Linked DNA regions of Neodiprion lecontei. The protein of the gene in region 1 purifies or fractionates together with the protein of each later gene. This does not show direct contact. Links are inferred from orthologs where the notes say so. Each region holds a gene or a part of one and is shown in the gene's direction. Other genes may lie near its edges.

Region 1 (8,441 bases):
GGAAAATTGAGTTCAAAACGAAGTGTGGATGTATGTTAATTGTTAAGTAATAAACTGCTATATGTATTTCATACGTATCATTTTAATTTCTTAAGAGATAAGTTCCAATTACAGCACATGTAACGAATGCAAAAAGTTCTACTCAGTTTCTTTCATGTACGAATATTTGTTTAAAAATTTTCACAGTCACTGAGATAAAATCTAATAAATATCATTGTTTGATAGACAATTTTTTTTTATACATACTTTTCATTCAATTGAAAAATCTGTACAATTAATAACAAAACTTCACTGGGATTTGGCTAAACATCCTTAGCTAGTACACCAGTGTAAATACAAATAGAATCTATTTTTGTCACATTTTACCCGTTTTTTTTTTCCATTTTAGAAGCAAATATCAATACATGCAGGTGTGGGTATTAGATTTAAAATAATTGCAGCAGAGAATGTTTACTTTGTCTTGAAAATAAATTTAGGACAACTTTTTAGTTCACTTTCAGTACGCTGATACACCTTGATTGGTTGATCTGGACGTAGCTAATAATTGTGAAGCTAAAACGTCCAATAATTGTAAACACAAATCTCGATTAATTTTCTTATTATCCAAAGACCTCATGAGAAATTTAAATGCTTCGCTTGTTTCATTGTCCCCTAAGAATATCTTTATGTGAGGTGGGATTGCTGACATTAATTGTTGTAGTAATTCATCCTGCAGTATATCTAATCCTTTAGTATTTTCGTTACCAGAGCTGGCAAATATGTCCAGATTATCCAAGTGTTTAAAAGATTTGAGAATCGAATTCTGGAACAAAAGTAGACGGATTTTACAGTCAAATCTGATGCCACTTAGCGTAAATGTTAATTAACAATCTGATTTGTCAATAACATTACTTTTAACGTGGTCTCAGCAATATTTCCAAAGAACAATTTGACAGTTCTAACAACAGCTTCTTGTTCTATAACGTTGTCACATCCGGATCCACCCAAAACTTCAGAAGCCAAGTCGACAACTAGTTGCGTTAAAGTTATCTTACTGTCCAGCTCATCAAGTTCTTCTGCAAAAATTAAAATATTATTATTGAAGTTATAGCTGCATTCAATTTAGAACTTCTCAAAGTAGTTACTGCTAATTGATGGAAATTAGATCTGTTCATCGCGTACAATGTTGGAGGTAGGATTACTGACCGTCGTATGGTGTGTTAAAAATTTCCCACCAATGAGCCAGCAGCTCTGAGTCACCGCTACCTTCGACCGATTCGACTGCTTCGTAAGCCGTGTCCACAGAACAGTAGTCCATTCTTTCCGCGACCAATTGCTGCAATTCTCGAGCTAAATTCTGCTGATTTTATAATAAAAGTTATTGGCAGTAGTGGAAATATATTATTGGATAGAACTTTGGAAGACACTTGAAACTCACAGATTTTAAGTCCTCAACAAACCGCCACGGAACATCAGCCAGTGACATTAATGTCGGCATCGGCATCACTTCTATTTCTGTATCCATTTCAAAACCAGGCACAACAGTTTTCAAAGTATTGAATACTCCGCTTACGGTTTTAGCCAAAAATCTATCTAGGCGTGGTGCCACTGTGTCCGCTTTTTTATTACTGCTGCTGCTTGGCCTCAAAAAGTGACGTAATTGTGGTGGATAATCGGCAGCTAAACGAGAGCAAACTAGTTTTAAATAATTTTCCATCTCCACACGTCCGCCTTCTGGTAAAGTTATGTTTGATATTGCAACCGCCAATGATGGAACCTGAAGTTAGATATTTGAATGCTTTTTACGTCTGTGTTTCAGCGATTATTAAGCATGGTTGTATGTCAGTTGATAATTACTTCTGCTAGACTAGCGTGAAGTTGTACAAAATCTGAGTACTGCCTCTTAACGGTGGCTGTAGTAGTTTCAAATAAGTGTGATCCATGCTGTTCTATGTCGTCAAACTGTATGCAGTACAGGAGCTGCTGAGAGCCATCGGGTGCCGTATGAAACTCTGTCCAAGGAATAGTTAAGTGGCTGCCTTCGTAAACTGTGCAAGACTTTTCCTCCAATTGTCTGCAATTAAATTTAGTAGAAGCTTCGGGATTATTTTTTTATTAGCTTCCAAATTAAGATTTTGCATGAACCTGGAGAAGCGGCCAGGTCTGAATTAAACTGGTTGAAAAAAATACACATTTACAATGGTGTTGAGGCGTTGGATTTTTGGTGCAAAAGACTTCGCAGTCTGGCGATAGTCGTTGCAAAATCAGTTGGTTCTTCATAAACCGGAGACAATCTGTCTTCCTCTGGTTCAGAATCAGGTTCAGATATTTCAACATTAGCCCACAATCCTCTGTGACTTATTTCTAAGCCCTCCAAACTCAGAGCAGCTTTCCTTTCCATTGTGCTTTGTGCATTCTGATTGTTATCTTTGAAATCTGGTGAAATATCAGCACCTTGACCAGCTTTAGGTAAGGGACGCGATATCGCTGCAGCTGTTGTGGAACGTATGGCATCACTGAGTGCCGTAGACACAACACTCTGAAAAGATTCGACTTTGATGAGTATGATTTGGATTAAAGGAGATCCCCAAATAAATAGAAAGAAGGTATTACCACCTCGCTAGCCGAAGCACATTTCTCATTTTTTACTGGTTCTGAGCTAATCGCTCTTACAATTTCTTCTAAAATCCACTCTGGCGAACTTATGCTTTCTATTCCTGTGAGCAATTTTTTAGCCAGTATTGAAAATAAGAGTTTACAAGGTAACGAACTAGTCAATTCCCATTGTAAAAATTCTCTTGCCAATACAGTGACCACTCGATGAAGACTGTGCTCTAACGCCGCTAGGCTTCGCGAACCCGGATGAACATAGCGATAGGCTTCTTCGATGTCTAGTGCAGTTCCCTTCTCAACACGACGCAGCGCTCTGATGAAAGGAATAACAACATTGCAGTAAATCGTTAGTTTCCTAAGTGAGACTGCAATGAAAACGAAGCTAGGTGAATCAGTAATTGCAGTGCATAATTATACAATGTTTAACATGTGGATCATTACCTACGATATTCCTTCAAATGCAACAAGAATATATTGCCAATTTTTCTAGCCAATTCAATTCGATCAATTCGTATCAATTGATGATTGAATTTAAGAATCAGATTTTCGAGCAACTGTTTGGACTCGTTAGGAAAAGCATCGTCATTGCTCACATTTCTGTACCAAATTTTAACAAAGTTCGCATCAATATCGTTTATAACTTTTTCCACATTTATTTTTTCCACAAAAGTTACAGGCAGGTCCTGTTCTAAAACAGATCCATCATCTAAATTTCCATCAGCCCTCAGGTCTCTGAGAAGATTATTTATCTCTGTGTTTTGTCTGTCTATCTGATTTTCGTCCTTCGTTTCTTCATCGTTATCGACACTTTTAACTACCGGTTTTTGTGGCTGATGACTACTACCTGTTTGGTCGTTTTTCATCCATCCCTGAGCCCATTTGTTGAAAGGTTCAGTGGTCAAAGGTGCGTTGACTTTGAGCATTAATCTCAATACGAAACAGCTTAGCCATATCGATATAGTGATCACAAAAATTGCCCAAGATATTAAAAAATGAAGCGGCACAGTAAGATGAGCGACGTGTGTTTGAATCGTCATGCAAATTGTAACAGAGAAAAGACTGATCAATAAAATACGATTTGACCAGCTTATCGAGAATACTTTCTCCATATTTATTTTCGTTAGTTAACCACTTTCTGCTTCAATTGTTTCTACAGATAAGTATCATTTTTGGTGTTGCGTGTTGCACCTCGTGTTACTTTGAAGTCTTTGATATATTTCACAATCTTTTTCTCTAAATATAAAAAAATGTCGTCCAACTTTCGTTCAGGTCGTTGCAACAACGATGAATATTCTTCTCTGTCATTCCTGCCATAACGTCTATATTTTCACGCGTATAATGACACATGATTAACGAACCTCATCGATGATTACTGATCTTATCTCTTGTGCTCACGTTGACAGTAGTTGACAGTTGTGTGACAGGAGCCGACGGATCTCGCAATTTTTTTACTACAGTGTGTTCCGGAATACATTGAAAAAAGCGGCAATCACGCGTCGCGGCGACCTCTGGTGGATATTCAGTGAACCTTTTGTCGCTACCGTAGTGACTCTAAAGTTTAATTCCGCAAATCCCGCCACCGTTACGCATCAGCTAATTTTCTTCAATTTTTTCCACACGATAATCGAATAAATAGAATTCAAAGTGGAGTAATTTTTTTTTGAAAAAACAATATGAAGATAGCAAAACAAGCTGCAGATCAATCGGATCAATCGACACTCAGCAAAGCCGTTAAAAATGTGAAGCAAAAACTTTTAACGGTATGTTTCGAATGTATCCAAACACGTGTTTAACATAACCTATAAATCTGTTGCGCATTCGGCAACTTATCCAGTCCAATCAAGTCTGCTATTTCGGTCAGCCGATAGTTGAAACTGACACTCGACGATTTGTCATTTCAGAAACCTAAAAAACCCGAAGCTATAATTCCTATCGAGAACAGCGATGTTCCATCGTCAACTGAATCAGTTTCGCTTAATAGAGGGATTGTTTATCTTGGGCACATTCCTCATGGGTTCTTCGAAGAACAAATGATTAGCTATTTCAAGCAATTTGGGAAGGTTACCAGAGCTAGAGTGGTTAGATCTGTAAAGGTAGATATCTGGGAGCCTCGTTTTCAACGATCTTATTCTTTCAGTATATAACCAAACAACATTGAAGTTGCAAACACGTATTTTCATTCATTTCCATCTTGTAGACCGGTAGAAGCTGTGGTTATGGGTACATAGAATTCATGCACAGCGAAGTGGCAAAAATTGCTGCACAGTCTATGAACAACTACCTGATGTCTGGAAGACTGCTAAAAGGTAGATTAGTTTTGATAGGAAAATTCAAGTTCATTTTATAAGCAGTAAAGTATCGACGTTTTCTTAACTGTTGTTATTCCGTAAAATGTTTTCAGCGACGTACATTCCGCCTGAGAAACAGCATGGGCGTTATTTCGCAGGGCGTCCATGGAGTAAGCAACAATTTCCTCGATCAGTGAAAAGAAAGGAACAGAATATGCGAAAAAACCAAAATGTGGATAATAGTGTTGACAGTATGCTGGCTCAGCGGAAAATGAAAAAAATTTCTGTTATGGAGAAAAAACTTGAGCAGGCAGGAATTTTCTATAAGATTAAACCCGTTGAAGTACCCGAAGACACGCAAGTTAAAAAGAGAAAAAGCTCTGCCTCTCGACCAGCTTCAACAGGAACGAAAAAGATAAAAACTTCCAATGGTACGGTAGCGAGTGAAATTGACGCTGAAGATGGTTCTTTACAAAAAGTGGAGAAAAAAGCAGTTGTCAAGGAACCTGCGATTAACAAGACGAAGAAAAAGAACAAGTCAGAATTGAAACCGGCTGACGAGGTTGCCGTAGCTATCAAGGCTAGTATTTTAGCAGTTCCAAAACCGAAGAAGAAAATTTCTACATGCACAGTTCAAGTACCCGAAATAAGCTTGCCAAAAAAATCTAAGAAGAAAATGGCAGCTGATTCCGTTCCTATTAAGAAGAAGAAAGAAGCAGTGTTAACTGAATTACTTGTAGGTAAAAAATTGAAGGGAAAAATTGAGTCGATTGATCATCCGCCTACTGCTAAGAAGCTGAAACAGCAAGTGGAAGTGATTGATCATCCACCAACTGTTAAAAAGACAAAACAGAAAGTACAAAAGAATATCCCTGCTGCAGTGCCGCTCATTGAAAAGTCGGGACAAAAGAAAATTTCTTTCCTAGTACCAACGGTTAAAAAATCCAAAAAACAAATAGCAGCTCAAGTATCGCTGAGCAAGAAAGGGAAAAAGAAAGGTGCAGCGGCATAAATGATGATGCATCGAACTAAGCTGGATTTAATTGTAATTGAGTTTTTCAGCAATTGTGACGGATCGAGTTTTGGTTTACTTTATGTTTCGTGAAAATGATCGATTAGATCAATGGAACTTTTACCTCATATACGATTTTAGAAATCGTAAATAATTTTTCCTACGATCCTTGGAATGGATTGTACATACAGCTCATGTATTTCATCACAGCGTTTAATAAACGAAGTATGCGTAATCTGTGATTTTGCGAAAGAATTATTTTATACAAACGTTCTGCACAGAACGTTGAATAAATCTTAGTTAAAGATAACAAATAGGGCCTGGATTAATATGTAAATATATATTTTGTTTATTTAAATCAATTTTATTCCTTATTTCGTTTTTTACATAAAGTATGGAGTTTGGTGCTAAAAAATACAGTTTATATGTTCCATATTTTAGTTTGTCAAGTATATTATATAATTATATTTTGAAAATTTTAATACATATTTATCACGGCCCTGATAATAAATCTTTTAGAAATATTTCAAGAATTTATTTTATGCTCCGGAAATCGATAAACCTTTGATATTGTCGATAAATTTATTCGCTTTACTGTAAACTAGCGAATAATATTTACAATTTAGTTATTTCTTCTAATTAAAAACAAATTTTATATAAATACGTAATGTATTGTATATTTTATTATATATCCACTCCGCTGGTCAGAATTAATCATAATTTTTTTCCGCGGTTCTGAGATAAGGGGCACCCTTTCGTTCGTTTCCATTTCATACGTCTGTTTTGAAACCAAACTTTGACCTGAAAAAAATGGATGAGAGTTGAATAACCCTATCATTCAATGTCGCGTGAACAGTTATTAACTGCACCTTGTTTAATAATTTTTGTGAATTATTCAAACATGGCTCGAGGCTTTATTCAATCATTCATTCGAAGTGATTTACATAAATCGTATGAATTAGTTGAATAATTATGAAAATAAACGTTAACAAAGAATTACCTGCCGCTCCGTTAAATCTAAAGCCACGGCAATTTCGTATCTCCGAAGTCGGGTGAGATAATTCATGTGCGCGAATTCGTACTCCAAGTGACGAACTTGTTGTTTAGTAAATGCTGTTCTTTCCTTGCGTGGTTTTTCCGTCGCGGTTCCGCTCAGCCTTTTACTTGCCTCTGAAATAATTGAAAGAGTTTATTTATCTTCATCGAATAAAATATAGGGATTATGCTCTGGATATTTGTCACGAAGTAAATTTGTAGAAGCTGGTGTTAAGTTCGATACACTCGAAAGAAAAAGACGAAGATAAATGGGAATTTGATTGTTTATATACCCACTTAAATTACGTCGATCAGGGGATAGGGTTCAAATTCCGAAATTAAAAAGTGTCGAAAGCGTGTAATTCCGAATTCTTTTGTTGCGAAATATGTAGTCAAGAAATCAAACTTTGTACGAAACATCGAGGTTTCGAATGCTCTGAAACCTGACGCTCAAAGTTCCGAAAGGATAAAATGCTGGAAGGGCGTAACTATCGCAAGTTTACTTTTCGGAACTTTGTTCTATCGTAACATGAATTTTCGGAATCTTGCATAATTCGGAACTTTGATCAGTCGATTTTCCGACCATTCGAAACTTTGTTGTTTCTTCAAAGTTTGATTACTTCACTTCTGTTATCGCCACCAAATAATTCGGAATTAACGCCTTTCTAAACTTTTCAAATTCGGTATTAACTGCGTAATTTCGTCCTGTCCAAAACGCGAAAATGAAGTAATCCTGCAATATTCCGATGGCCTAATTAACACGTCTCGTCGTACGGAATGAAAGGACGATGCACATATAACGCGGAGGGCGTCGCAAAACCGTGAATTTTTGCCCGTCGGCAATCTTTTTGCCGTCGGAGATGAAAATAACTGCATCTCCGATGCGTCATATACGATGACGTTCTCCTTGCGGCGCCGCGACGAGAGAAAGAAAGAGAGAGCGAGAGTGGGAGACGGACATATATACATACCTATATAAATATACATATATAAGGGGCGATTCGCACCACTTGAAATGTGGGTTGGCTAGAATCGCGGATCTCCTGCCGAACGTTGCATCATCTCCTGAGTGCATACACGCATCTGCAATGTGCACACATATGCATTGGCGGTATACGCGATGCGTTCGCTTGTGATGCGCGGCTTCCGTGCCGCTATCTCGTCACCCTTTCGGCGATTTGCTCGATGACGTCAGCATGCGTACAATAAATACAGGCGCGCGATTTGATACGTTGGAATCGTGATTTTATTCTATCAACGTATAGTGTATATATGGTATATACAGGTGTGTACATACGCGTGTGATTATACGCATCGATTAAAGAAAAGCTAAACTTTAACCCTTTTTATATCGAATATTATGTATCACTGTTCAAAATTATTGTGAATTTACAAAGCGTTTACTGTACAAAAGAGTTGCAAACTTACAAATTCGATGCATCGATGCAAAACTATTATGTATTTTTTTTTTATGTCTGAAATTTACGATGAAAATTTTCGTTCTTACTAAAATT
Region 2 (7,087 bases), on another chromosome or scaffold:
GTTTACCCGTGATCCACTGTGGTAATATGTATAGTTATTTATATTTATATATATTATATTATTACAGTATAGTATTATAATATAATATTAAGTCCTATCAAATAACTTTTCTTAAAATTGTATAAATTTTTCAGGTGCAAGCCTTTAGGATATAATTAACAGAGTATCGCCAAAATTATTTGTCTCTCTAATTTTTACGAGTCGAAACTTTTTCAAATCTGTTTTTTTTTTTTATTTTTTTCTAAATTCTTAAATTCAACGCCTTCTGATTAAAATGAGTTGCTCTTACTTTTATAGAACACAATATTTTAAGAAATTAGTTAAATTTTGGATATTTTGTCAGACTAATTTCTTTTCCTTTAAAATTTACAAATAAAATTTCATGATAAAATTGCCTGATTTTCATATTTGCTAAATTAAGAATTAATTATCGAAAATTTTCATTTTTGTGATATCTCGGTAGGACTGTAGAATTTGAGAGTTTTATTTGTTTAAGATTTGTTTACTACACTGCTTTTACACGATTTATGTTTTGCTGATACTTTTATGAGAGAGATCTGGGGTTTATTTTTATACAAATGTGAAGCAAGTAGAAAACAGCAAGGACGTCATTATTTTTTGAAATTAGGTAAACAATGCCAACTTATGAACTATATGTATTCTCTAGAGTGAGAAAACAAAAACTAGCGGTATCAGTGATAGCAACAGGGTTTTGGTATGTTTTTATTGCAATCACAGTGAAAATACAGCGTAAAAAAATTCCTAACTACACCTCGAAATCTAAGTGTAACTTCAGTTCAATTTCAGCGAGACGAAATCTGCCAGGGTTTAAACCATTAAAGCACAGAGTGGGTCATTCTGACTCATACTCTTTTCTTCTGTAACAGTAATTCTTCAAAAATTCCTTTTTATTCAGATTTTTAAGTCATATTTATAATTCTAAACTACGCTATCATATTTTAAGATAGTGAAAGTATGCCCCTGAATCTTTTCAGGTAGATCGCACTCGTATATTTGAAATGGTGCATAAAAAATTAGACAAAATCATTTTGACCCAGAGTGTTGTCCATGATCGAAGAAATAGGTACGTTCTCGATGAGTTAATTGTTGCGGACTAACGCGACCATTTGCTTCTGGGCGATTTCTGTCTCATTATCGCGATTAGTGAACATTGGAATCTCACACAAGACCGGTAATACAGAGTTGCAATTCCAAGGGCCTACTCCCTTTCCATCACTAAATATTGCCCCACATTGCCCAGATCCTAGGTCTGGTCTCCACGGTATAAAATTCAGCGGTTGACCTAGAAAAATATACGGTCGAATATGCTGGACAATATAAGTAGCATCAGAAATTAGTTAGTTTTATCTAAACCTTACCAGTTTTAACACTGACCCATTCGACATTATCGAACAATCTATGAATACCCACGTGTGAACCAAGTCCTTTCATGCTCGCTACGTAGTCGTTCTTTTTGAAGGAGTCGATGACGGCCAAGTTCCCACCATCAGCGACACACAGTTTTCTTCCCGTGTTCCACGTGACTTGATTTTTGTGGAGCTTGTAGGCTACTCCGACATCTGGAAACGCGGTATAACCCGCTGGTAGAACAGTGGGTTGATTCGGCGCTGACGTGTAATCTTGAATGAAACAAAAAGTTTTTACCAATCAATCACTTACGCAGAGGATAGTATTACTCTTTTTAATTTTTCACACTCCTCCTACCAAAACTATTATTCCCGTAGCTCAAATTACCATTACTATACAGCTGGCAAGCGAGCTGAAGAGGCAGAGCAACTAGCAGACCGGACATTTTGTTAACGTATTACTTACACCAGATTAATTTACTCTGGCAGCTTGCCTCGTAATTTTGAACTGCAATCGTGGAATAATATTATATCTGTTTACTTTAAAATAATCTCTGGCCTTATCACCAGTGATAAATTTATTTTGCTCGACCTGACCTGCGTGGGGAATTACCACTGATTAGTTTCAATACTTGATACTATATATATGGGGAAAAAAATATTCTGACCTTCAATCCAACAAGATCATTTACTGTTATTTGATTCGCAAAACTAATTCCCTTCACGTGTGAAAATGGTTCAACAATTCTAACAAGCAGAAAATGTTTAATGTTTCAGCAATTTTATAAAATCATCCCCGATAGAAATAAAAGAGCATATTCTCGACGAATACGCAACAAAAATGCATCACCCGCAGCTAGCATGTTGCCTCAAATTTGTGGCCACAATAATATAGCAACACCGTGGACACGGAGGGTAGCAAATATCCAGTAAAGCGTTAGTCGTGTAAACTTTTTTGTATAATTATAGTCATATATTTTTTATACATAAGTACTTTCGATTGACATGTGTAAGATTTGTATTGTGATGCATTTCCACAACGGTCATTGTATGAAACATGTATTATATTGTATAATATCAATGTTGAAAATATCTATACACATAGAGAGATACGTATGCATTCCTATGTAATATGCCGGCCATAGCTGCTCTCCGCTTACGTCAATCCTCTGACACAATACAACACTAACTGATTTCATTGGCTTATTCCGTTAGAACTGACCAATCAAATGGCTCAGTGTTGAATTGGTTGCGTGCGAAAATTGACGTCAAAGAAAGGCGGTCAATATGAGAGGAGATGGGAGAACTCACAGAAATAGAATAAATCCGTCAACTTTTTTTCCCTTCTGCATTCACGGAAAAAATTTGAAATGCAAAAGAGATGGCAGATATGGTTCTTCCTCTACGTTTGTGACAATCCGCGTTCGCATACGACGCCCATTGTGAACTGTTGTAAACTAGGCTTTATATAGACGCAATCACGGAGTTGCCAATTGGTGGTTTCCGCTCTATTCTTGATCATTATTAGCTCGGACAAACAAATGTATGGCATTGTCTATGCAAGGGAGAGCATTTGAGCAGTTAATGAAAAGGTCAAAAACTCTTGCAATTATGGATTCCTACAGTGATTTTTGCATTTCCCTGTGGCGATTTTTCTCAATGAAAAAATTTTCAAGTGATTTTAAAAATCGCGAATCCCGGTGGTTCATGGCGGCCATTTTCAATGTCCATTGACCACGGCGGCCTCTTTTTCCGGTTCCACTTCACGTAGGACGCACGGAACAATGAAGGCTAAGGGAGAAGTGAGTAAATTTTCACAATTTTTGTTAGAATCATGCAAAAATAGACCTGCAACTAAGCCTGTAGAACATTACTTCACCAATATGTCGAATTGCGACTGTATCTATCCAACACGAGTCGAATTACCAACGAATATACAGATTTTTGACCGCGACGGCATGGCAACCGACACATGTGGGTTATCGTAGTCTTTTCTTACAACCAACTTTATGACACCGATTGATTCGAAGTGTTACTCGGCTTATTTTGTCCCATTTTAGCTGATTACTTCATCACATTTTTAGCTACTCTCAAGACTTTCTTCAGTCTGCGATTCTATTTTAGGTTATATTACATCAGTAAATTGAGAGTAACGCACTCATTGTCACAGCCTCATCATTCCGCTCCATTATGTTATCAATTAATATAAGCTCGTTTCTATTCACAGTTGAAGGAATTCGAGGTGATCGGGCGTAAGCTCCCCACAGAGAAGGAAAAGGTAACCCCATTGTACAAAATGAGGATATTTGCTCCTGACGCTATCGTGGCCAAGTCTCGATTTTGGTATTTCCTCCGCCAGTTAAGGAAATTCAAGAAAACGACTGGAGAAATTGTTAACCTCAAACAGGTAAAGTAAAAATTTTGTTTTGGAATAAAGATGCAGTCGTTACAATTCTGATAAAACAGATTGTCATTGATTTTGTATTCTTTGGAATTAGAAATCTGCTAGGTTATATCGCACCCTTGTGTTCACTTGATTACGTCAAATTACAAAGTTTATAAAGTGAAGATATTTGTACATGCCGAGTACAATTTTGATTTATGTATTTACTTCAGCTGTCACCAATATTTACAGTAAATATAAAGTTTTTGGTTGGTAAATCTGTGGATATTTGCAAGTTGAAACACTGTATTTAGGTTCAATTCCAAAACTGCCTCTATAAGTTGACATTTTTCATGTGAAAAACGTAAAAAGTTTGAGGAAATTATAAATTCTGAACTGAGTTACTTTCTAAATAACGTTTTCTTGACTTTGTGATTAATATTAAAAATTAGGTGTACTCCTTACTATATATCCTGATAAGATATGATTGCCGAAATTCACAGTGCATTTTAGATATTGATTTAATTTATCAATTTTTAGATCGCAGAAAAAACTCCGATAAAAATAAAGAACTTTGGTATTTGGTTGAGGTACGACTCCCGTTCCGGAACTCACAACATGTACAGGGAATACCGTGACTTGTCAGTAAGCGGAGCTGTTACACAGTGCTACCGTGACATGGGGGCTCGTCATCGTGCCAGAGCTCATTCCATTCAGATAATCAAAGTCGAGGTTGTAAAGGCTGGAAACTGCCGCAGACCTCAAGTCAAGCAGTTCCATGATTCCAAAATCAGGTTCCCGCTGCCCAAGCGTATTCAACACCGCAACCGTATGCCTCTATTCAGCGTACGCAAACCACGCACCTATTTCCTTTAAGCAATTTGCATTTCTTCGGTGTATTCATTTGAGAAATATAATCACTTATAAGGGAAATAAACATTTTTAAACTATCCTATTCATAGCCTCGTTTTCTATGCAAACTTACTAATAATTATATTAGTTCATCTGAAATTATTCTTTCCGTCTCGATTAATATATAGATTACAGAGCTGAATGTGTGTTGACCATTTTTTTAATACTTTTTATCTGTGAGAGGTTTTTGGAACCCAAGAAACTGGATTAGACTGCAAGACATTTTTTTAAATCACTGCAATTCATCATTTGGAACTTGGGCAACGTAATTACCGAATGATCATTAGCGTTTCCAATCCAGTTCTCACTTCACTTTAATTAGAAACAATTTTCAACGGCTCAATTTGATCGGGGATGATAAATAGCTGTTTAAAACATAAATATCAAATTATTCAAGCTAGAATGAGATTTTGAAAGAAATGTAGAAAAGTCGTCAGAGAAAAAACTGCATTACCTTGTTTGGGGACAGAGAACAGAAAACTAAGGTAGGTAGTGATAGGTGGTAGTCGACTGCACGACTGATTACATGAAACATGTGAAGTGAAACTCATTAATTTTCGTAGATATTGTACTGGATCCATATTTCGTAATCAGTTCAAAACGCTACAAATTATAATCTTAAAATAATACGCTTTTTATATAACAGCACTTGTATCTTCGGCCTGATTCTGACATTCGCGAAAATATTTTCAATTTAAAATTGCCTTCTGATCGGTCTAGATGGCGCTTAGCGCCGTTTTTACGAGTGAAAAATAAGTCTTGAATCACTGATATTACACAGATCAGTGGTCTGAATCAAGGGCCTGATCTACATGAATACACCAATTGTCATTGGTTGTAGGGTTGCCCAAGATCGATCAATCGATGAACTCCAGTGATGAACTCTTAAGGCCGTGTTCGTAAATTGACTGCCAGTACTAAAAACAGAGATGAGTAGGGAGATCTCCAACGCTCGGCTTTTCGTGATACCAGCTAGGTTGGAGCGTCGACGTGACACCTAGGCGGCCACGCACCGAAGGTGGCCCATTTCCGACCTGACACCTAGGCGGCCATGCACCGAAGGTGGCCCACAATCGTGCATATATAGATATACTCGGTCGCTCGAGCAAGCGGTTGCCAATCGCATCCTTGTCCCCGCTCGCACAAATGTTTCCAGGAATGCAAGAATTGGGATTTTTTTGTTTCAATTATGAATGTCAGCGAATAAAAGTATCTCCAGATTTGATAAATTTTGGATTCAATTAGCGGACGTTGAACCAAAATAATTAACCATTCCCAGCCCGAATACTTTTTTTTTTTTTTTTTCTAATAAATATTATTTTTTTATTGATGTGAAAATATGTGACGCCTGGTGTTCTCGAATATTTGTATACGCAGTCTATGGAAAAATATACGAAGCCAGCTCGATAACATTTATGCAAAATGTGCAATGGGCAAGTGGTTGGAGGAAATTTTTTTTTTCTCGAACTGAATCTTCCAGAGAACCATCAGCGAATTCCAAGCAAGCTCCATAAACATACCGAGCAAACGCGCGATCACGGACGTAGCTGTGGTGTGGCTGAGTGGATACCACATGAGGATGAATTTTCAATGACAGGTTTTTGCGCGAAGTTTTCCTGTATTTAAGTTAATTACTGCTGCCTTTGCTATAATACTGCATTCAAGTCTTAAACAAAACACTAAAAAATTGGTTAACCAATTAATGTAAAACAACATGTTAGATTGAGCTTAAAATTTAAGCCGGAGTTACATAAACTAAGATAATTACAAGTGCAATATTGTAAATTTGAGCATTTATTGTTCATTTAAATAAATATGGTTTCCTCCTCAAAAAAAAAAAAAAAAAAAAACATGAGGATGGAGTGATGCGGGACACGGGTTCGATCGCAGTTCACTCTTTTTTTTTTTATTTTTAAATTCAATCCCGGCTTTTTTTTTGTATTTTCGGAGAGAAAAAACAAATCAAAGAAAGAAAATTTCGAGAGCCGGTCGATTTTTTCCTTCTTTCCTTTTGCTTTTTTTTTACTGAACCCACCTTTTTTGTAGTGGGGGTAACCCAGAAGAGAACAAATAATTGAAACAATAAAATTCCGAGAGCGAATCGATTTGTTCCCCGTTTTTGGCGCCTCTTTTTTGACAAGGAAAAGTTTTGACAGTAATGTAAAATAGAGATTACTAAACACAAATGTATTGTTTTTTAATAACACCGGCCCACAAACAAAAAAGTGGTCTGTACTTTTGACCGGACCTACCTATCTTTATGTATTTTGACGCGCTGAATCCGAATCTGAAGTCAGTTTTGCCCGTACACCCTCAAAATTTTGAGTAAATTGCAAAAAACCATAAAAATCGCCAAAAATTAGCATTTTTGGTAAGAAAAAAATTTATGGAAGTATAGACCAAGTATGATTTTTATGCATTTTGG

The links.
Region 2: the proteins of MKI67 FHA domain-interacting nucleolar phosphoprotein-like (region 1) and 60S ribosomal protein L18a fractionate together in Homo sapiens (co-fractionation; 3 studies listed by BioGRID and IntAct, with this or other methods). This does not show direct contact. The link is inferred for Neodiprion lecontei from reciprocal best matches to the Homo sapiens genes NIFK and RPL18A.

What each region holds. Positions count from the first base shown.
Region 1 is NC_060260.1:4,668,921-4,677,361, reverse strand, and holds MKI67 FHA domain-interacting nucleolar phosphoprotein-like, read left to right. Parts: upstream 1-4,148; 5' UTR 4,149-4,265; coding exon 4,266-4,352; intron 4,353-4,493; coding exon 4,494-4,685; intron 4,686-4,789; coding exon 4,790-4,898; intron 4,899-4,993; coding exon 4,994-5,892; 3' UTR 5,893-6,127; downstream 6,128-8,441. Other genes in the region: 26S proteasome complex subunit SEM1, read left to right, coding at 1-10; uncharacterized protein LOC107226332, read right to left, coding at 497-802, 892-1,055, 1,186-1,339, 1,418-1,756, 1,837-2,053, 2,178-2,518, 2,596-2,905, 3,034-3,701.
Region 2 is NC_060266.1:18,811,924-18,819,010, reverse strand, and holds 60S ribosomal protein L18a, read left to right. Parts: upstream 1-3,023; 5' UTR 3,024-3,151; coding exon 3,152-3,169; intron 3,170-3,594; coding exon 3,595-3,774; intron 3,775-4,290; coding exon 4,291-4,626; 3' UTR 4,627-4,705; downstream 4,706-7,087. Other genes in the region: uncharacterized protein LOC107225246, read right to left, coding at 1,101-1,303, 1,380-1,640, 1,726-1,813.